Struthio camelus: one gene and its partner. The protein of the gene in region 1 interacts with the protein of each later gene in a pairwise test. Links are inferred from orthologs where the notes say so. Each region holds a gene or a part of one and is shown on either strand. Other genes may lie near its edges. The genes, in order: PEX6 and PEX26.

Evidence for each region.
Region 2: the proteins of PEX6 (region 1) and PEX26 come close enough for resonance energy transfer, tested with the Homo sapiens proteins (2 studies listed by BioGRID). The link is inferred for Struthio camelus from reciprocal best matches to the Homo sapiens genes PEX6 and PEX26.

What each region holds. Positions count from the first base shown.
Region 1 is NC_090944.1:147,792,104-147,802,952, reverse strand, and holds the start of PEX6 (peroxisome biogenesis factor 6), read left to right. Parts: upstream 1-5,525; coding exon 5,526-6,371; intron 6,372-7,602; coding exon 7,603-7,766; intron 7,767-8,488; coding exon 8,489-8,572; intron 8,573-9,941; coding exon 9,942-10,044; intron 10,045-10,239; coding exon 10,240-10,376; intron 10,377-10,460; coding exon 10,461-10,572; intron 10,573-10,849. Other genes in the region: VSX1 (visual system homeobox 1), read left to right, coding at 1-13, 97-220, 864-1,044, 1,534-1,799. UniProt on the Homo sapiens protein: Component of the PEX1-PEX6 AAA ATPase complex, a protein dislocase complex that mediates the ATP-dependent extraction of the PEX5 receptor from peroxisomal membranes, an essential step for PEX5 recycling.
Region 2 is NC_090942.1:70,907,078-70,918,135, reverse strand, and holds the start of PEX26 (peroxisome assembly protein 26), read right to left. Parts: upstream 4,845-11,058; 5' UTR 4,700-4,844; coding exon 4,479-4,699; intron 4,379-4,478; coding exon 4,238-4,378; intron 3,728-4,237; coding exon 3,414-3,727; intron 1,980-3,413; coding exon 1,833-1,979; intron 1,023-1,832; coding exon 919-1,022; 3' UTR 1-918. UniProt on the Homo sapiens protein: Peroxisomal docking factor that anchors PEX1 and PEX6 to peroxisome membranes. PEX26 is therefore required for the formation of the PEX1-PEX6 AAA ATPase complex, a complex that mediates the extraction of the PEX5 receptor from peroxisomal membrane.

The DNA of each region.
Region 1 (10,849 bases):
AGCGGCGGCACAGGTACGAGCCCCGAGGCAGGGCCCGGCCCGGGCCCGCGGCCGGGGGTCCGGCCCGCCCCGCAGGACCCGCTCTCCTCCCCGCAGGACGGTGTTCACGGCTCACCAGCTGGAGGAGCTGGAGAAGGCGTTCACCGAAGCTCACTACCCGGACGTCTACGCCAGGGAGATGCTGGCCGCGAGGACGGAGCTGCCGGAGGACAGGATACAGGTAGGTGGCCGCGCGGGACCTCGAGCTGGATGCCCACCTTCCCCCCCCCCCGACACGCTCCCGGGCTGCGCTAGGAGACCCCCAACCAGGGGCACGGCGCTCCTCCGGCCCCCGTACCCCCGGTGGGGGCAGGCGGCCCGGCCGCGGCGCCGCTGGGCCAAGCCGTCTCACCTTGGGTGGCTCACGCCTCCTCTGAGGGACACGGGGCGGCTCGCTGGCTTGGCTGAGGATGGGGCAGCGGTTGGGTTGCACCTGCCCCGCAGGAAGGCAGCGGGGGGGCTGGGGGGGAGAGGAGCACCGGCACCCTCCGCCAGCACCTGCCCCGCGGACCCCTTCTCCTGGAGACGAAGGTGGCTTCGTGCGGCCGCCCGGCGGGCAGGCGGAGCCCACGGGCTCCTCTTGGCGACGTTGGCTGGGGACGCCTGGTGTAACGTGTGCTCCCTCTCCCCCCCCCTCCTCCTCTCCCCTCTGGCTCACACCCACGTGCGTGCCCTCCCCGCATCCCCCCCGACACCACCTCTCGGCGGTCCCTCGGCCCTGGCCGCGCGCTGCCCCGCGCGCAACGGGCCCCGCCGGCTGGCCGCGGGTGCCGTCTCCTCCCCTCTCCCACCCCTCCGCGCTCTCCTGGCTGTTACCCCTGAAGGTTTGGTTTCAGAACCGAAGAGCCAAGTGGCGGAAGAGGGAGAAGCGCTGGGGCCGGAGCAGCGTGATGGCCGAGTACGGCCTCTACGGGGCCATGGTGAGACACTCCATCCCTCTGCCCGAGTCGATCATCAACTCCGCCAAGAGCGGGCTGGTGGGATCCTGCGCCCCGTGGCTGCTGGGTGAGCTGGAGCACGGTGCGGCGGGGGGACGGGGCCGGCCACGGCGCCCAGCGAGCTAGCGGTCACCTCTCGTGCCTGGCCACGCGCGCCCGCCCTCTCCCAGGACGGAGCAGGGCCTCAGCCACGAGCTTTGAGCAGGCTGCGGCGTAGCTTGGCCCTTTCGCTCCCTCCCTCTGAAGAGGAGCTGGGGAAGGGGGACCGCTTCCCCGCGGCCGGGCACGGCCCCGCGCTCGCGCCGTGTCGGGGGCTACCTGACCCGCTCCAACGGGGCGGCCCGGGAAGCCCGGGCCCTTCGCAGCAGCCCTCTCCCGGCGAGCCTTTCCCGCCGCCCGCGAGCGGCAGGTGCCCACGGGTCCCGCTGCGGAGCGGCCTCCTCTGGCGGAGAGCAGGCAGCAGGGGCGCGAGCCAGAGCCAGCGCGAGGTTCCCCTCCGGCTGGGGCCGCGGGCGGGCAACGCGCGCCCTCTGCTCTGCTCTTTCCCCTCGGCAAGGCATGCACAGAAAGTCCGTGGAGGCGAGCAGGAAGGCGGAGAGCCGGGAGAAGCCGGCGGACGGCTGGCGAGAGGAGCGGACCGAGGAGGACCGCGGAGGGGAGCCGGCCAGCGCGCAGAGGGGCTCTGACCAGCTGGGCCCCGTGATCGATTCGGGGGACGCGGCCATCGACCTCTCCAGGACGGCCGGGCGCGGGAAGAGAAGCGCGCTGGGCCGGTGCGTCAGCGGGGACCCCGCCGCGGAGCAGGAGGACAGGGACCGCTGAGCTCGGGCTGCCCGGCCAGCCCCCTGCGATCCTAAGAATATTTATTGCTATATGTATATATTTTTTTCCTCCTCAGATAATTGAACTTCTATCTGAATTCAGGGCATTGTAAAACTGAACCCTCCCCTCCGCCCCCCCGCTTCTCAGCTGCTCGCCTCTCAGCAGAGCAGAGAGGCGTCCGAAGCTGGCCAAAAGCGGTGGGAAACCAGGACCGTGCTGTGGGCAGCACGGACGGCCTCTTGGGCAGAGCTTCCCTTCGCCCGGGGCTGCGCGCGGGGGCCCGTCCATCGCCGGCAGCGCCCGCGCGCCTCTCCCGCCCCGAGGGCTCCGGCACGTCCTCCGGCCGCCGCCAGCTGACGTGCCGCCGCAGCCTCGCCACCGCGTTTACGCTGCGTCGCGGTCGGGCCGAGGGACGGAGGCGCTCTTATTTACGCAACCACCTTCGCACGCGCTTGAACGTCGCCTGCCGTACCGGGCACGCCAACAGAGCGGCCTTTCCGAAAACCAAGCCGTAGTACCCCGGAACAAGCGCACGATGTGTGGGTCGACGCAGGAGACCGTTCCGGGAACGTCTGTGAGAGCGCAACGCCCCCGCCGTTCCTCGGCGGTCTGACTTCTGTCCGAAAGCACTTTAGCCTCTGTCTGTCTGGTTCTGGTTTTTTTTCTTCTGAACGTGGCTCTGCCTGTTTTGTCCATCGCTTATTTATTACGCCCCCATAAATAAAGCTGTGGTGTAGCTTCGGTTTTCATGCTGTGCGTGCATCCCCCCCCTCCGCCGCCCCGCCACCTCTCAGGGAAACGGGCGCACGGCAAACGCAGCCGGCGCGGCAGAAAACCGTACGGCGGGGCTGCGCGGGCAGCACGGTTCAGGAAAGGATGAGCCAGGGCTTATTGCAGCAGCAATTACGCGCTGCAAGAGCCGAGATTTAGCACGTTGGAGGCCTAATCCTGCCTGAGCAGCATTTGCAAACCCGTTATGTGGGTTGTGCCGTGCTGGCACTGGTGTCTGGCAGCTTTTTTTTTTCCCCTTTTTGCCCTGCCCGCGCGCGGCTGGCCTGGCTCACCGCGTCGCTCCGGGGGCAGAGCGCAGCAACGGCAAACGCCGGGGCGCCTTCCCCGGCCCGGGGCAGCCCAGCCTGGCGGCCTTCCCGCTCTCACCCCCGGCTGCAGGAGGGGACTCGCGGGGCAGGCTGCCAGCCTGCTGCCCCGAGGTCACTGCAGCGCGCGCCGCCCCCGAACCGCCTCTGCCCCAGGCAGGGACTCGCGCCAGCTGCCCAGCCGGCCGCGGACCAAGGGACGCGGAGCGGGGCTAAAACGGGACCACGTTGGCTTGTTTCTCGGCTTCGCCAGGAGCGGGCGGCCGCTGGCTGCCAGGCACGGGCCCGGGGCGGCGCTGCCGGCTGGCCCCGCTCGCCGGTAACGCGCGCTTCGGCTGGGCGGCCCCTGCGGGGCTGCTGCCCGGGCCCGCAGACCGGCCGCCCGCCGCCACCGCCCCTTAAGGCCCTGCAAGCGCTCCCTCGCGCCGGGCCGGCCCGGCCCAGGCGCGGGCTGTCCGGGCTCTCACCCCCGCCTTGTCCACCCCCGCCCAGCAGATCCCGGCCAGGATCTGGGGATCCTGATCCAGCAGATCCTGGCCAGGATCCTGGGATCCCCACCCAGCAGATCCTGGCCAGGATCCTCGGGTCCCAGCCCAATAGATCCCAGCCAAGATCCCAGGGTCCCCGTCCAGCAGATCCCAGGATCCTGACCCAACAGATCCTATCCAGGATCCTGGGATCCCTGTCCAGTAGATTCCAGCCACGATCCCAGGATCCCCACCCAGCAGATCCCGGCCACAATCCCAGGATCCCCACGCAGCAGATCCCGGCCAGGATCCCGGGATCCTGATCCAGGAGATTCCGGCCACAATACCGGGACCCTTTCCCAGCAGATCCCGGTCAGGATCCCGGGATCCCCATCCAGCAGATCCTGGCCACAATCCTGGCATTCCCACCGAAGAGATCCCAGCCACAATCCCAGGATCATGATCGAGGAGATCCTGGCCACAATCACATGGTCCCCACCCAGCAGATCCGGGCCACGATCTGGGGATCCTGATCCAAGAGATCCTGGCCACAGTCTCAGGATCCTTGCCCAGCAGATCCCAGCCACAATCCCAGGATCCCCAGCCAGCAGATCCCAGCCACAATCCCAGGATCCCCAGCCAGCAGATCCCGTCCATGATCCCAGGATCCTGATCCAGGAGATCCTGGACACAACCCCAGGATCCCTGCCCAGCAGATCCTGGCCAGGATCCTGGGATCCCCATCGAGCAGATCCCAGCCACGATCCCGGGATCCTGATCCAGCAGATCCTGGCCACTATCACAGGATCCCTGCTCAGCAGATCCCAGTCAGGATCCTGGGATCCCCGCCCAGCAGTTCCCAGCCACGATCCTCTGATCCCAGCCCAATAGATCCTGGACACAATCCCAGGGTCCCCACCCAACAGATCCTGGCCAGGATCCCAGGGTCCCCACCCAATAGATCCCAGGATCCCAACCCAAACAGATCCCAGATAGGATCCCAGGATCCCCACCCAGCAGATCCCAGCCACGATCTCGGGATCCTAGGATCCCCACTCAACAGATCCTGGCCACAATCCCAGGATCCCAGGATCTCCACCCATCAGATCCCAGCCAGGATCCCAGGGCCCTCGGATCCCCATTCAACAGATCTCAGCCACGATTGTGGGATCCCAGGATCTCCACCCATCAGATCCCAGCCAGGATCCCAGGATCCTCACTCAACAGATCCCAGCCAGGATCCTGGAATTCCACCCATCAGATCCCAGCCAAGATCCCATCAGATCCTGGGATCCCCACTCAGATCACATCCAGGATCCCATGATCCCAGGATCTACACTCAACAGATCCCGAGATCCCCGTCCACCAGATCCTGGCCCGGATCCCATCAGATCCTGGGATCCCCACTCAACAGATCCCGGGATCCCCGTCCATCAGATCCCGGCCTGGATCCCAACAGATCCCGGGATCCCCACTCAACAGATCCTGGGATCCCCATCCATCAAATCCCGGCCTGGATCCCATCAGATCCCGGGATCCCCGTCCATTAGATCCTGGCCCGGATCCCATCAGATCCCGGGATCCCCACTCAACAGCTCCCGGCCCGGATCCCATCAGATCCCGGGATCCACACTCAACAGATCCCAGGATCCCCGTCCATCAGATCCCGGCCCGGATCCCAACAGATCCCGGGATCCCCGTCCATCAGATCCCGGCCCGGATCCCAACAGATCCCGGGATCCCCGTCCATCAGCTCCTGGCCCGTATCCCAACAGATCCCGGGATCCCCGTCCATCAGATCCCGCCCGGCTGCAGGGCGAGGGAGGATCCGACGGGGTTCGGCTTCCCGCAGGCCGCTCCTCGCGGAGGGCCGGTTCGGCGCCGGCAGCAGGCGCTGGCAGCAGGCTCTTCCTCCGGCTCCGGCTCCGGCTCCGGCTCCGGCTCCGGCTCCGGCTCCTCCGCGAGCGCCGGGCGAGGCCGGGCGAGGCCGGGCGAGGCCGGGCGAGGCCGGGGCGGCGCGGCGGGCCGAGGGCCGGCCGGTTTGTGGCGGGGAGCGCTCCCTCTCTATGGCTCCGCGCCGGGGCGGGGCCGCTCCGCGCCGGCGCTCGATGGTCGGGCGGGGCCGCGCCTGCGCAGTGCGCGCTGCGGCGGCCGGCGGCGGCATGGCGGTGGCGGTGGTGCGGCCGCTGGACGCGCTGCCGCCGGCCGAGGCGGCGCCGGTGGCGGCGCTGCTGGTGGCGCCGGGGCCGCTGTGCGCGGCGCTGCGCGGCGAGGGCGAGGGCGGCGGGGTGGTGCTGGCCGTGCGGCCGGCGGGGCGCGGCGGGGCGCAGGCCGTGCTGCTGGGCGCCGCGCTGCTGGAGGAGGTCGGCGGCGGCGGCGGCGGCGGCGGCGGCGGCGGCGGCGGCGGCGGGGCGGCGCTGTGGCTGCGGGCGGCGCTGCGGCGGCGGCTGGGGCTGGCGGCCGGGCGGCGGGTGGCCGTGTGGCCGGTGCGCCGCCCGCCGCCGCTGGCCTGGGTGCTGCTGGGCGGCGGGGGCGGCCGGGCGGCGGGGGCGGGGGCGGCCGGGCCGCCGGTGCTGGAGGCGCGGCCGGCGCTGCAGGGGCTGCTGGGCGGCGGCACCCGCCTGGCCCGCGCCCCCCCCCCGCCCGGCGGTGACGGCGCCCCCTGGCGCTGCCCCGCGGCGCCGCCCCCCCCGCCGCTGGTGTCGCGGTTCGCGGGGGGGGCGGGGGGGGCGCTGCGGCTGCGGGCGGCCCGCGGCGGCGGGGGGGGGGCCGAGGTGCGGGTGAGCCGGCGGGGGCTGCTGGCGCTGGGGCTCTTCCAGGGCGAGTGGGTGCGGGTGCGGGCCGGGGTCGGGGCCGGCCGGCAGCACCTGGCGGCCCTGCGCCTCTGCCCCCCGCCCTGGGGCTACCCCGCCGCCGCTGCCCCCCTCGACGGCGCCCTGCTGACCCCCGCCCTGGCCTTCAACCTGGGCTGCGACCCCGCCGCCGCCGCCACCCTCCTCTGCCTCCGGGTGAGCCCCGCGGCCGGGCGCGAAGGGGGCTGCCGGCCGCCCCGCGGCCCCATTGCGGCTGGTGGGGACCCCTGGGCCTCCCTGCGGCGGCTCTGGGGGAGAGGGGCTGCCCCACGGTGCTGCCCGTGCCCCATTGCGGGTGGTGGGGACCCCTGGGCCTCCCTGCGGCGGCTCTGGGGGAGGGGGGCTGCCCCACGGTGCTGCCCGTGCCCCATTGCGGGTGGTGGGGACCCCTGGGCCTCCCTGCGGCGGCTCTGGGGGAGGGGGGCTGCCCCACGGTGCTGCCCGTGCCCCATTGCGGGTGGTGGGGACCCCTGGGCCTCCCTGCGGCGGCTCTGGGGGAGGGGGCTGCCCCACGGTGCTCCATGTGCCCCATTGCGGGTGGTGGGGACCCCTGGGCCTCCCTGCGGCGGCTCTGGGGGAGGGGGGCTGCCCCACGGTGCTGCCCGTGCCCCATTGCGGGTGGTGGGGACCCCTGGGCCTCCCTGCGGCGGCTCTGGGGGAGGGGGCTGCCCCACAGTGCTGCCCGTGCCCCATTGCGGGTGGTGGGGACCCCTGGGCCTCCCTGCGGCGGCTCTGGGGGAGGGGGCTGCCCCACGGTGCTGCCCGTGCCCCATTGCGGGTGGTGGGGACCCCTGGGCCTCCCTGCGGCGGCTCTGGGGGAGGGGGCTGCCCCACGGTGCTGCCCGTGCCCCATTGTGGGTGGTGGGGACCCCTGGGCCTCCCTGCGGCGGCTCTGGGGGAGAGGGGCTGCCCCACGGTGCTGCCCGTGCCCCATTGTGGGTGGTGGGGACCCCTGGGCCTCCCTGCGGCGGCTCTGGGGGAGGGGGGCTGCCCCACGGTGCTGCCCGTGCCCCATTGCGGGTGGTGGGGACCCCTGGGCCTCCCTGCGGCGGCTCTGGGGGAGGGGGGCTGCCCCACGGTGCTGCCCGTGCCCCATTGCGGGTGGTGGGGACCCCTGGGCCTCCCTGCGGCGGCTCTGGGGGAGGGGGCTGCCCCACGGTGCTGCCCGTGCCCCATTGCGGGTGGTGGGGACCCCTGGGCCTCCCTGCGGCTGCTCCAGGAGAAGGGGGCTGCCGGTGGCCCCACGGCATGTCCCGTGCCCCGTCGCAGCCACTAGGCCCTGGGGATGTGCTGTTGGGGGCTCGTGATGGAGGGAGGAGACGGTGCGGGGCCTCGTGGTGGAAAGCCGCCCCTGACGTCTCCCGCTTCGGTGTGGTCTGCTCCGCAGAGGTACGAAGCAGAGGCCGGCGTCGCGGAAGGGAAGGGGAGCCACTCCTTGCTGGCTGTGCCGCCCTTTGCCAAGGAGCTGCACGTGGAGATCGTCTGCTCGCCAGCCTACAGCGCCAGAGGAGTCTATGACCGTATTCTCTACAAGCACTTCGAAACACCCCAGTAAGGCGTGCGCGTGCGTTCCCGTTCGTGTTATTGGTTGAGTCCAACCGAGATGCGCTCTCGTGGTATATTTGTGGCATCTGGATCCAGTGGACATTGAGCATATATGTAACCAACAACTTAATGCGCGTGGTGAACAGTTTCACAATATCCACCTGCACCATCTTCTCCTCCTGAGCTCGCATGAGCTTGACTTGCCTGCAGCATCTCTTGTCCTGTCCTTCACGAGTCATCCTCGAGCCTCCCTCCCTGTGACTTACCCTCCGGCATTGAGGGCTCCCAAATACTGCCCACAGACCTCCATCCTGGGGTGTGTTCGTATCCTGGCATTCAACTTTGCGTGCAGTTGAATGATTGGCAAGCTGGCTGCGCAGAGGAGGTCTTCTCTTACGACTTGCCCCCGAGCTGCTTCAGAATTGCACTCGGCTGTTCTAGGCATAGAGAGGCGATGCTCTTTAATAGCATTGATCTTCTATATCACTGGCAGATTCTTCCCAGAAGGTAATAACGTTCCCCTTCGTAGTCCTTATGCACCTACTCTCATCTGGGACGTGCTAGATGTTTGTGTAGCTATTTATAATGTTGGAATACAGGAAAAGGAACAAAACACTGTGAATAGCTACGCTCTTCTTTGTGAAAACCTGTGTGGTGTGGTGGGTAGAAGGATTTACTGTTTCTCATTGGTGAAACTCTCTCTCTCTCTCTCTTTTTTTTTTTTTTAGGCTTGTCCAGGAGGGAGACATCGTATGTGTTCCGACATTCGGATGCGCTGAGTTTCTAGAAGCAAATTCAGACAAATTCCTTAGGTGGGTGGCAATAAACCTTGGCTCTGCTACATGGATATTAAAAGAGAAAAGGTGCTTTTCCATGATTGACCTACTTGTAACAGGGCAGTGGGTTCCCTTCTCGTCTGTCCCTGGAGGTCAGAGTTAGTCTGCCTCTTCTTTTATTTTGGTGGGAAAAGTTTTTATTGGATTATGGAAGGTTGCAGCTATACCTTAGCTCAGCTCAAATAGTCACAGAGGGAAGAAAGGAAAAGAGAGAGAGAGAGAGAGAGAGAGAGAGACAGGCGCTGATGGGGAAAAAAGAACGAAGAGTGAAAAGGACGGCCTGAGGACAGCTAGTGCCACATAAACCGAGGTGGAAGTTGGGTTGTTTATGTGGGACCAACACTAAAGTGTGCGTATAAACCCTTTGCGTTAGAATAACTTTCAGTTCAGCCACCAGTTCTGCCTTCCCTGGTTTAGCTCGTATGGCTTTGAAGCAGTTCTGCACTAAATGAGGAAAATTACTTTTGTATCAGAGTAGGGTGCTCGCAGCAGGGCTTTGCTGGTGATAGTATAAATGCTTCAATTTTGTCACTGAGGGAACTGCCACAGGTAACTGAAGAGTGCGATGTGAATATCTGCCTTAAATTGTTCGTGCAGGATATAGCAGCTATGTGTTTTAACACTGTTCAGCTCCACTGCTTATTTTAAAAATTTAAGGATTTCAGAATGCTACCGTAACAAGTATTCTCTAGGCTGTTTTTCTGAAGGAGGCAGGATCACAGGAGGCACAAGTCTTCCATCTGTGCGCTTATATATCTGCCATATGGCAGGCCAAAGAAGATAGCAGAGCTAATGGGGCCTAGAGAGCTTCGAATGGTTTTGGTGTGCAAGTAGGATGCTCGGGGAACGGAGGGCACCTCTGCAGGTCCTTTAACAATCTGTCCTGTGGGATATTGGTGGAGGAAGAAGCATTTTCCCAGCCAGGTATCCAGGGCTGGATGCTAGTAAGGCTATCGTGATATGTGGGTGAGTTCTGTTCTGCAGCTCGGAGGACTTTGCAGTACGAGGTTTTATGTGCTGCAGGCCAAACTCTGCGCAGTCGCAGTGAAGGAACCGATGGCAGAAGAGGGGGTGTGTGAGCTCTTAGGCAAAGCAGGCAGAATGGGAAGATTGGGACAGCAGTACTTGTGAGCTAAAGCCACCAGCAGAAGCTGTAACTGTTGACAGTCAAGTTGGTCTCCCTAGCCAGCACTATGGGATCCGTGAAGGATCCATGGCGGGTTTTGACAGAGAGCAAGAGCGTCTGTGCTTACCTGTGCCTTTCAGCTGGCTTCTGGTGGTGAAAGGAGTATTCCTGCTGTCCAGGTCTTGAGTCAATAATTTAGACTGCTTGCTCTTCCTTTAGATGGCCAGAGCTTTACCTCAAAGTGAGGAAGATTTTAGGCGTGGTGGAAGGCGAGCAGTCTGAGGGTTGCCTGGTGGACACCCAGAACACCTCTCTGTATCTGGTAAGACGTCAGTGGAGAGCAGGGCGGGCGTACAGGAGATGTGAGGCTGAAGTGGTGCCGTAGTGATGGCAAAGGTGCCTGAGGAGGCTTATGTCTCCTGCAGTTCCAAAGGGGTGTTTTGGGACACCCTTTGTCACTTGGCAGCTGTCTTTTCTCCACTGATGTTCTGCAGCATGTTACGTTCCTTCCTCACAGGTGGGTTCAACCAACAGTGCTGTCCCATCTTCCCCAGCCTATGGCAGCCATGAGTTCTGGAGCAGTTTGTCTCCTGCTGGACTTTCCGATGTTGTGAAGCAGCTGTGTGGTGCCCTTCAGCCTCACCTGAACAGTTGGTGAGTTTAAATTCCTTCTAGCCGGCCTCAGGAGAGCTGGGCCCCTGCTCCACAGTTGCTGAGAGACCTGCCTCTGTGTTGCAGGGCAACCGCGCTGAATGGGGCAGGCAGCGTTCTCCTCTCGGGGCCAAGCGGCAGTGGGAAGCTGATGGCTGTCAGAGTTGTGTGTAGCTGCCTTAACCTTCACCTCTTCAAGGTAACTCCTCCTAGGGTCAAGTGACTGGTGGATTTACCGCATACAGCTATGGGAAGCAAATTCAAACACCCTGCACCCATGACATGAGCCTCCTCAGAAGTCATTCCCATGCATGCATGCAAATAAAAGGAGTCCAAGTGTGCTGAGCTTTGCAGCTCGCTCTGGCACAGATTGTGACTTCTGGTGGATATAACCTGAGGGCAACTGTTCGGATCAGCCCAAAGGTCCATCTAGCCCACTGCCCTGTGCTGGGGCTGGCCAGTGACAGATGCTTAGG
Region 2 (11,058 bases), on another chromosome or scaffold:
GGAGGTTTTCTGACATCTCAATAAACATAGCAAATGATAGGGAAACCCTTAAGAGTAAAAAAAAAGCAACAACTTCTGTTGTTTAGTACATTCATATTTCTAGATTTTAGGCAGAATCTAGACAATACGGAATACAATTAAAAAAAATAAATCTATTGCCTTACCACCGTGCTCCTAAGAAATTTTGGGCATCAGGCAAGCACAAAGTGCAGTAGTTTGCATTTAGGAAGAGTAGGTGCAGGACAACAGTCTTTGTGTCCCATCGCCTTCATTTTCAAAATCAAAAATGCCCATATGAGGAGGCATCAGTCCAGAGAAATCATGACTTTCAAAAGGCAACAGGCTCCATTTTCTGTTTTATTTCCACATGTGTGTCCTAAATCCCATGCTGCAGGAACTGGGCTTTTCCGATGTCTTCAGACAAAACAGTATATTCCCCTAATTACCTGGTACTCTGCTGTCTTTTACAGTCCTGCCTCCAGGAACGCTACTTCCCTCGTTCAGAGAGCTGCCCAGCATTTACAAGGATGAGGCCTTCTTCCAAAGCATCTCAGTGAGCCTGGCTCACAACTGGCCACCCACTCTCACTGAGGAGGTATATCCAAAGCAAACTATTTGGAAAGGATTCTCACTCAGTTGCAGGTTAGGGGAGTAACTTTAACCAAGTATTTGACAGAATGATGCTGCAGAGCTAAGCAAAGTGTGTGCGGGTGGGGAATACATGGCATGGTTTCAAAATTCATACAACACAGTTCCCCGTCTGAAGAAAGGAAGATGTCATCACATGGGAGCTCACAGGTGGCCATCTCAATTGGGACACTGATCTCAACAGTCCTTGAAGAGCCTAAGGATGTCCTCAATACAAGCTGATACTTTTGCAGCAGCAGAAAAAAATATGCTTTCTGTGGGGGAAGCCACTTAGTCTTGAACTGGAGGCCTGCGGATTGGAGAAAGTACAGCTGCCCAAGCCTGTCGGAAGAGCTGGACCAGTCTATAAAGAAACGGCAGTGACGTGGGAGAAGCTGCAGAACAAAACAAAAACCAAAAGAGCCTTTCATTTTAAGAGCGAAAACTAAGATACGCTAAACATACTAAGAAAAGACTGATCCCAACCAGCAATAACGGAAGCGTAGGTGTTTTATTTCTTCCCGTTTGGTTCAGTTCTCAGGCCTTAACCTAGGCCACTGCTCCCATCCCTAGCATGCTTTCTTCAGTATTTTCCAATAGACTATTCGTGGAACAGCAACAGAGCACCTACCACCCAGTAGAAGGGGCGTCTCCAGATAGAGGGGGGACACACATCCCCCCTGCTCGCCAGAAGCCGTCCACATCACAGGACCAGCCCATTCTTCAGCGACAGAGGCAACCATTACTAGTGAGAGACCAGCATAAGCAAAACCAACGCTTGAATACGTCACTGGCCTGGGCAACTCTGTACTTTCCTGGCAGCACAGCCCCAGGAGGCAATCACTCTTCCAGAAGGCATTCACCTTGTAGCACCTCAAGCTAACTGGGGCAGAGGCTGGGTCTAGGACAGCTCAGTCAGTCTCTAACAGTTTGCACCTTGTCTGTTAGAAAAAGCTGAAGATGGGATAACTGTTTACAGACATCTGCTTTTGTTGAGTTACATGTTTCTACACGGACTCCAGGTGGAAAAACTAGAAACAAGCCTAAAAAATAAATTCCTAGCCACCCGGTTCTTTTATGTTCTTTAGATCTTTTATGCCCCAAAGACAACACAATTACATAGACCATATCTATCAAAAGCAACTCTTAATTTATTCTCTGTAGCCGTAGTGGATTAAAAAAAATAAAAGCTCTAAATTCTGTACCTGGGTCTAATCTCACCACCACCAGATATAGCATAAAAGCAGCCAAGAGAATCTTTTTGTAAGGAATTAAATAGAAGTGGCTTGACATGGACCTCAGTGCTCTCCGGAGCAATGTCAACATGGTCAAGAGCTTTTGGGACAGAGCACCTAGAAACAAGAATAAAAAGGCTGTTAGGGCAAAATAAAGTGGGAAAAAAAATCACTTAGAAGAGTCAGTAGTGGTGCCATCCATCTCACCTAACTGTAGACACATCTTAGTTTGATCGCATGCGTCTCTTTTATAGGGAACAGAGAGAAATTACACAATTTTAGGATACAATTCATTGGATCTTTTTTAGGTATCTGCTTTAGGACGATATGAACTTATACCACAGCAGTGCAAACATCTCTGCTGGTAGATAACTCCAGGTGATTTACAGTTCTGGCAGATAAGTAGTACTTTAAATGCCATGGCTTGCTCTACATGGGCTTAACTATTAATGGAGAAAAAGCAAAAAGTACACAGATCCAACAACACATACCCTTAAAGGATGCACTTGCTAGTTTTAGTTGCCTGTTTGTACTGTAATACATTTATTCTGAAATGTTTTAGAAGCTTGAAAATAATTCCCATCTTCTGACACTGGTGGAGACTAAATCCCCTTTGTAATTATCAGCACATGGATCAGCAAGTCTTCCACTGCCTTCCGGGATATAGTCCAGTCCTTCTGTGACTTCCTCATGGCTGGTATGTCCTGACATTATTATTAATATACAGTTACTACTTGCTACCCTTTGTTAGTAAGGGATCTAACAATGCTGGTTAGGTACTACTACAGACCCGTTAGAGCCATAGGTGAAAGGCCTTACCATACCCAGCCATTTGAAATGACGCTGCTAACTCATTTACAGAAACATTCCATAAGGTGGTCAACTTGTCATCTCACTGGTAAAAGGAAACCACCACTACACAGCCAGACTTAAGAAAGGAGAGAGGAAAATTTTCCTAAGCCATTCTTCTGAATCCAGTGCTGCACAACAAAGCAAGGCGTGAAAACTGTTTCCATGCTGTGTCCACAGAGGATGGACTACCCACAACGCAACAGCCATCAACAACCAGGCTAAAAACTAAGCAGAATCACACTCGAGAGTGCAGAACAAATCTTCAAAACTCTTTGAGGATTTACAGGCAATACCCCAACAATTCTGAGGCATCAAACTACAGCTGCTCTACTTCAGACAGTAGCAGAGGGCTACAACAAACAAACAACCTATAAGCAGCTTTTGTTTTTTGAACTTGTTTCCCTTCTTGTTGTCCCAGTGGCACTTTGCTGTCTGTACCCACTGCAAAGTCCTGAGTGCTTGAGGAAGCTGTCTCACTGATGATAGGTCTAGGGCACATGTTGAAGTTCTGGGATGGGCTATCATAGATTATAAAGAAGGGAACAGACAGTCCGCAGATAACAGAAAGAGAACACGGATGTATACGATTTACATTACAATCTAACTTGAACCATTTTGATAATATTTAAGATAGCCAGATCTCTAAAACTTTGAAGGAAAAAAAAACGAAGGAGCACAAACAATGGAGGGAAAGCCTACCCAAAACTGTCTCTCTTGTGGTGTCTTGCTGCTCTTCAGCAGCTGAGCGCATCTCTTCCTGTTGAGTCCACTGACATTGGCTTTCACAAATGATCTTGAGAAGTGCTAGCTGCTGCTCACTGTCAAAAACATCACAGCCCCGCACAAGCTCTTCTGCCCCCTCAAACTGGCCAAGGGGAAGCAAAACACGCAACAGATAGAGCTCCAGCAACGAACCATACTCAGGGAGGCTCCTATTGGTTACGTCTCTCAGCCAGCTACTGCCAACCTCCAGCATCACCTGGGGCTCTCTCACTTTGCTATATAACAGGATGCTAGAACACAACAAAGACAAATATTAGAAGACACAACATCTTTTTAAATTGAGATGAACTGACAGTTACTACTCACAAGCAGCTATCATCAAGGCTTATGTCAAGGTCTACACTCCAGGTAGAGGAAGAGATTTCTGAGACAGGTGGTAGGTACAACCACTGATGTTACTCTCAGAATGACCCCTTTTGTTCCTTATCACCCTAAAGCAGTCTGCTGGCCTGCAGGCATACTCAGGCACACATAAGTCCAGTTGCTCCCAAAGGCTGCCTCTCAGCAGGCTCAGGGTGGCTAGCACCATGCCTAACGCTAGCGTATGCGTTCAGAGAGCAAAATGATCTGCAACAGAAACTAATTCAGCTTTTTTTTTTTTTTAATTATTTCTCTTTTCAAGAACATGCTTGTCCCAGGTTCCACTTTCATCCCGGTTTACAGCATACAAAGTGAAAATGCAGTCTGGCCTGTTATTAAACCTAGTCCTGTGTACCTGGCAGTCGCATGGAGAAACTCACCACAGCTCCAGGATTTTTGGAGGCAGATGCTCAGGGACGTGATAATACTGTAGGACCCAAGAGAGAACTTCCCGCCACCGGTTCATCTCCGCCAGGGCCTGAATCCCCACAACACAGAGGGAGCATTTCACTTCTGCAGAGCTGAAAAGGAAGACAGACAAACCTCCGCAGCTCCCTAAGCGGCCTGAAACTCCACGAGCCCCTAAACCAGCCCTGAGCCCCCAGCCCTGCCGGCTCGTACCTCCCGGCCTCGGCCTCGGCCCCAGCCCCAGCACCGGCCCCAGCGGCAGGGCCCAGGCTGTCGCAGCCGGCCTCGCACCGCTCCAGGGCGGCGGCGAAGTCGCGGTGCAGCACCAGCAGGTCCGTCGCCTCCTCCAGCAGCGAGGCCGCCTGGGCCGACACGGGCGGCCAGGCGAGGGGCTCGCTGCGCAGCAGCAGCTCCGCCGCCGGCTCCCTCCTCATGGTGGTAGCGGCGGGGCTACCGCCTCGCTCGGCCCCGGCGAAGGGGCGCCCCTCACCGGCGCCCAACGCCACCAGAGACGCCCCCACCGCCGCCCCCTCACGGCTGCGGAGGCACCGCCCCGGCCGCCATCTTCTCGCCCCGCGGCGCCACGGGAGCTGTAGTCACCGGCTGCCTGAGGCGACCGGACCCGGCAGCGCGGGGCTCTTCGGAGCGCTGGTGCCCCCGGCGGCCCGAGGGGTCCGTCGCGCCGCGGAGCGGCGGCTCTGTAGGACGGGAACCGCCATGGGAGAGGCGGCAGGCAGAGAGCGCGGGGCGGGGGGGACCTTTGCGTGGACTATTCGGTTACAAACGGGCTCCCTGCCAGCCAGCTAAGAGCCCCGGGAGCCTGCGAAGAAGCTGCCGTGAAAGGTCGCGAACACGTTATGCCGTTGCGGGGGGGGGGCGGCGGGCCGCGGCCGGGGGGCAAGGCGGAGAGGGAGGGGCAGCTGGAGGCCTGTGTAATTTTGACAAGAACAGGACTTAGCCCCACGCTCGCGTCCTCGGCTTGCCTTCCCGGAGCTTCCGGCTATTTTGTGAAGCCGGGTTTGCGTCGTGGTAAAAGGGGGAGTGAAGTTTGCGGGCACGCTTAGAGAGCGAGCCGGGGAGGTGTGCGGGCGACGGGACGCGCTGGCCGCCAGGTGGCGCTTGCGGTGCCTTTTTTTTCCACCCCCTCCGCTTCTTTTTTCTCCCCGTGGTAGCAAGAAATCCCAAGTGTTCCTTCAGCAGCAGCCTGAAAGACACAGGCTGCCCGAAGGAGGCTCCTCAGTCACACAAAGCTGCACGCGCACGAGACAGAAAAACGTCCCTCTTAAGGTAGGGAAGCGCATCTGTCTTTGCCTCGGTGATAAGGTATCCAGAGGCTTGTGCCTCCGCTGGGCTTTGCTTAATAATCGAAACCTTTAATTTCTCGCCCTCGTGCCTGCCAGCGGAGAACAACTAAACCCAAGTCAAAATTTTCCACCTCAGCTGCCCCCACTAGCAGGAGGGTCAAAGAGCCTGGCGAAGGTCGCGGCTTTTCTTCTCCCCGACCGCGAGGTGTCGCCCAAACCACAAGCGCTTTTGCTTGCTAAATGGAAGGCTTTAAGGTGCAGAAGAGCTAGGCAATAAAGTTGCGGTCCTGTGGTTTTCTTCACTATAAACAGCCAGCAGAAGAAGATTTTTCTGAGTGAATAACGAAGGGAGAGTGCTCCCCTTACAGCCTAACGCATGGCTGCTTTCGACGCAGGTCTTTGCCAGCAGTTTGCTGTGCCAGGCGAACGCAGGCCTTGGTCTCCTTATGGCACGTTTCCTGGCAATCTTTGCTTCGGCCATCACCTTACTGAAAACCACGTGTCCAGGGTTTGGCGCATGCTAAACTGTTAAATGAGCTGGAGTTTGGGCTTAAGAACAAGCTCCTCCACTGTACCCCCAGTGCCAGGCATGCAATAATATAAAATGTTTCACATTCTTATTTAACTGATATTTCAAAACAATAGGGTGTCTTGGTTACAAAATAATGATTTCACCATGTGAAAACTCTCTTCAGAAATGAATCTCTACAGGAGAGGTAGAACTTAGCATACTGTTTTGTAACCCTGACTGCTACTATAACTATTTAATGAAAAATCAAAGATCCTAATGCAAAGCATATGTTAAAGTGTCAAGTACAGGTTTTAAAAGGAAACTTCTGTGCTGTTTCAGTGTGGAGGAAAGTGTGGGGAGTATGATGACAAATTTGCTCATAACTCTCTTATAAACAGTTGTTTACAGGTGGCAGAATCAAACCCCTCTTCATTGTAACAGGAGGAACACTCTGTAATAGCAGCGTTCACAAGCCAATGCGTTAGAGTTTGTATGTTGTGTTACTGACTGCAGAAGGAGATTCCAGAAAGATTCAGCTTGGTTAAGCCAAAACCACAGAACAAAAATATTGTAAAAGGAAGGGCTGAGCAGCTAAGCAAGCTAGGAGATAAAACACTTTTCAGACTTCTGTTACTGTTGCTTGGTACTTGCAATCTGGAAAACAACATTCCTTTTTGGGAACTACAAGTCCCAAAGTGCACTGTGGGAAGAGTATGCGTTGTACCAGCTAGTGCCCAGCACAAATTCCCAAATATGGATAAGGAATCAATTTTGAAAAAGACTAACAGTCACTGAATATTCCCCACTGAGAATCAGAAAAGGAGTGAGACAGCATGGAATGAGGTAAGTTTGTAATATGCAAAGATATTCAACAATGTCTTTTGAGGAGAGCAGCCCAAAATATTCTATTCCTTAGAAGGACAGTTCAGTGGTGTAGTGGTGATGCTGGAATTGCTCGCTGTGATGATGAATGTGGTTTTTTGAAAATGAGGATTGTTGTTTCAGGTGGGGAAGTAAGCAGTGGGAGCAGCTGTGCTGCAAAATGAGTCAGATCCTGTTTTCTTGCAGGTGCTCTTTATTAATAAAGAACTACAGACAGATATGTGAGCTGCAACAATAATGCAGTTGTGTTAGAGGTACAGAAAAGGCAGAGAGAATGGGAGCTCTTCTAAACAGAAGATCTGAGTGAGCTGCAGTCTGGCTGTTTAAGAAGCTAATAGGGAACAGGCAGCCTTGTAATAACAACTATGGGTAAAATTAATTTCTCTGTAAAGCATGGTAGAATGTTTTTGTACTTCACCCCTTATCCTAGAGGGGACAGTGTGGTGCCTTGAAGGCCAAACCTCTCACAGTTCTCTAACCGGCAAATAACAGCCACTCAGTAATTCAGTTAAACCGTTGTTTAAGATCAGGTTAGGAGCAATTACTTATTTCATTGGCAATTTGTTAACAAGCAAAGTGGAAAATCTTCTGAGGTCAAATAGAATTGTCTTAGTGGAGACCAGAGACAACCTAACGGCAAATTCAGATCTGTAACGTCTTAGTGGTCGACTTTGGCAGGGACAGAATTGGCTCCTGCCTCCCTCTCTCGTCCCTACAGTCAGACGTCTCTCTCATGCATCTGAGATGCAGTGTGTGGCCGCTCAGTGACGTCAAGTGCAGCTGGTCAGCCTGATCTGTCATCCCAGCAACCTACTTCTACTATGTAGGGTCATGGAGCAGGAGGGTAGGCATGGCACAGTACTGCAAATGTGGGAGATACAGTCCAGCTGTGGAGAGAAGTGAGAGGCAGTTTGGGCTGGTGAACTAAACTGTCACGTGGACACTCTTTGCAGGATAAGAATGATGCTATTTTTCCATCTTTCCTTAAATGTAAACAGTATAAATTGTTTTTAAACTTGGAAGAGTCACTCTTGTATGTGACTATAGCCAACACGCAGGGCTATACCACTATAAATATATTGGAGGAAATCAACATGTTTGGCTGTGCTTCTGCTTCCTGGAGAGCAGTTTCTAGTAATGAGAAAAGGTAAATTCAAGAAAACTTACTCTTAGGAACAAGTAGTAAGAGGGAGCATCACAATGCATTGTGTCGTGGGGGGAGGGGGGGTGTTGATGCCTGGCTCCTTGACTCTCATCTGAAATCTAAGGTTTTTCTTTTTGCTGCCATCTTGATTTTCTATAGGAAAAGAAATGAAATGAGTTGCAGAGGGACCTTCTTTATGTTTTCACCAGCTGTGAATTCACATTCTCCTCCTCCCACTGCTGTGAAGCAGTTCAAGGAGAGTTAGGGATACAGTCACCTGTAACAGGGCCTCCTGAGGTAAATCGCCTCAAGTATTAATCCAGATCTGACTAGCGTGGGGTCACAGGGCCAGAGAGCTGGCAATCAGTCTTTTCTGTGGTCTCTTCTGTGTCAGTAGGCTGTTAATATGAGATTAGCAGCATTAGGGAGACTTTGAGCTAGAAACAGTGGGGCTCTATGGTCTGATTTTAAGAGAAAGAAACCCACTTACACCTAAATAAAAATGAATAGAAGATCTGGAAATATAAAAGGCATTATAAACACAGTTGAACAAAGTAAGGTCTGTAGGAAAGCTGTGGGGTTTTAAAGATGAAGTTGCTTATAAACTATGATGTACTATAATAAAGCAATGACGTCCACAGAGACTGCAGATCTCAACAAGCAGCACTCCCTCTTCATCACCATGTGCTTTTGTTTGGGTCTGGCTAGGCCATTAGACACTGGAACTTGTAATTTGCTTATGTTTCCTATGAGCAATACATCCCGATTAAATATGAAGATAGGTGGCTCAGTTCCCTTCCATTAACTCAAATTCAGGGCTCCCTCTAGCTTCTGTCAGGCTAGCATTAGAGCCCTCAGTTGTGTAAAGGTGAGCACTTTCTGGTTATGCATCTAACAGATGGTCAAGTCTGAAGTCTTCTTTATTTTACTTAAGATAGAATCAAACAAATATTTTATTGTTTTTTTTTAAATAAGACTAGTAAGGGGTGCCTCACCTGATTTTGAGACCACCTGCTAATGTTCCTAGTTACTGCTTTTTAAAGCACTCTCCTCTTAACTTTGGCTGCATGAAAACCCATATAAACAACAGATGAGGATGGCAGAGAGAAGACGGTAAAGATAACTACAGGGGTAGTCATTAGCTACAATCCAACTAGGTGCGAATATATCCTGTGACATTAAAGTCTGAGCAAATCCCTGTTTTAATCTTCATCTTAAAAACACGCTGTGTGAGGTACAAACACCGGACACTGGAAAATTGGAGAAACAGAGGTATTTGCACAACTTGTAGAGCTGGAATTTTACTAATATAATAGCAAAAGCTTTTCGAAAAGAAGGGTGATTTTAAGTTGATCGTGCCTCGTTCTTTGCTCTATATCAAACAAAATACCAAAATACCAAACCTGGCATCCAAGCATGCAAAGAATAAACATTGTTACTTTTTATTTGATTGTTACCAGTTATAATAGTAATAATTAGGGCTGGGTGGGGCATTTCATAGCTTTAAGGTGACCAATTTGGTTAAAGGCCTAAGGCGGCTTCTTTTCTGCAACCAGTTATTATCTGTGAGGAAAATACTAAAGGCTGTCATCACTATAGGTCAATTAAATCTTCTTTGCCCAGCACTGCATCTCTTTGCTCTACTGATTCAGAGTTGCTTCCCCTTCTGACTGTTAATATCTTTTCTTAAAGCCCCACCTGCCGAAATCTATTGTCACCCATTAATCTCTGCACTTCTATTTCAAAAGTGGACATCATGCTCCCATAGCTGGGAGAGATGTTTGCCAACGTGAATCATGAAAGTACTGATACCATAAGGCAAATGGGAAGAGAAAACATTATTTTCTCAAATCACATTCTTTTTACCCTAGCCTAACAGCTTTTCAGTACTTCTTGTTTCAGTGTTTGTCGAACACCTATCCCTCATTTTGAATTCAAGCTTAGCATGATCTTCTGTTAATTTTAACTGCAAACATCCAAATGTTTCATGTTCTGCATTTTGAACTGGGAATTATAGATAATGTTACATAAGTTAAAGCAGCAAACTCTTTTGTCTCTCATGCTGCTGCTCGTGGTTCTTATTTGACTTGATCTTGTGATGCTCATAAAAGTCTTAATTAAAGATTGTTTTAGAAAAACCAGCAGTGCTGTAGAGTTGCTAGGTAACAGTGTCTAGCGCTCTGGAGAGGATCAGCTAGGAAGGGATCGTTCAATGATGCAGCCTGTATGTCTTGTATTTCGCCAGGTTAAGTGTATTGCTGTGCCCATTCAGCGGGAGGACTGCAGCAGGCGGAACTTCACTGCTTGCTGTTTTGCTCACAAACTCGATTTAGTAATTAAGAATTTGTTACTTTTTTATGAATTTGCCTCTGAATTTTTTAATGTAGTTGGTGAAAATGCAATCTCTCGTTTTGTGAAGGATTTCTGCCCTGGTTTTGAAGATCCATATGCTATTTTAGAATCTTTTTGGATTGAGAGGTATGATTATAGTTTGCCTAAAATTAATATCTAGAGCAGTTTATTACTTTCCATTTCTCCTACAAATTAATTTTCCCTTTCTCTCTGTGCCTTTCTTACTTGCTGGTTGTTCTTGTCTTTCTTGGAAGTGTCATAGCAATACTAGATGCAGACAAACATAGGATTAGGTGTCTAATAAGTTTATGTAGCCTTGAGCATACTTGTTTACTTCTCAGCACTGGGGGAAGGGCAGCGCACAAGAAATCTAACTGTTGCCTGTCCTTGAGTTTTCAACTCAGAAGTCTGAGCCAGGACTGTCTGAAAAGACAGGTCCTAATTGTCTAGGTACGTTGTTGTTCCAGCTGCTTGTTGACAAAGGAAGTTGAAAACTCAGTTTGTGTTACCAAATCTGAAATGATTTCTCACTTAGGGTTAGTTCCAAAAATATTCATTTCCAAAAAATGACTCAGTATGGACAGCCTGAAAAAACTTGCT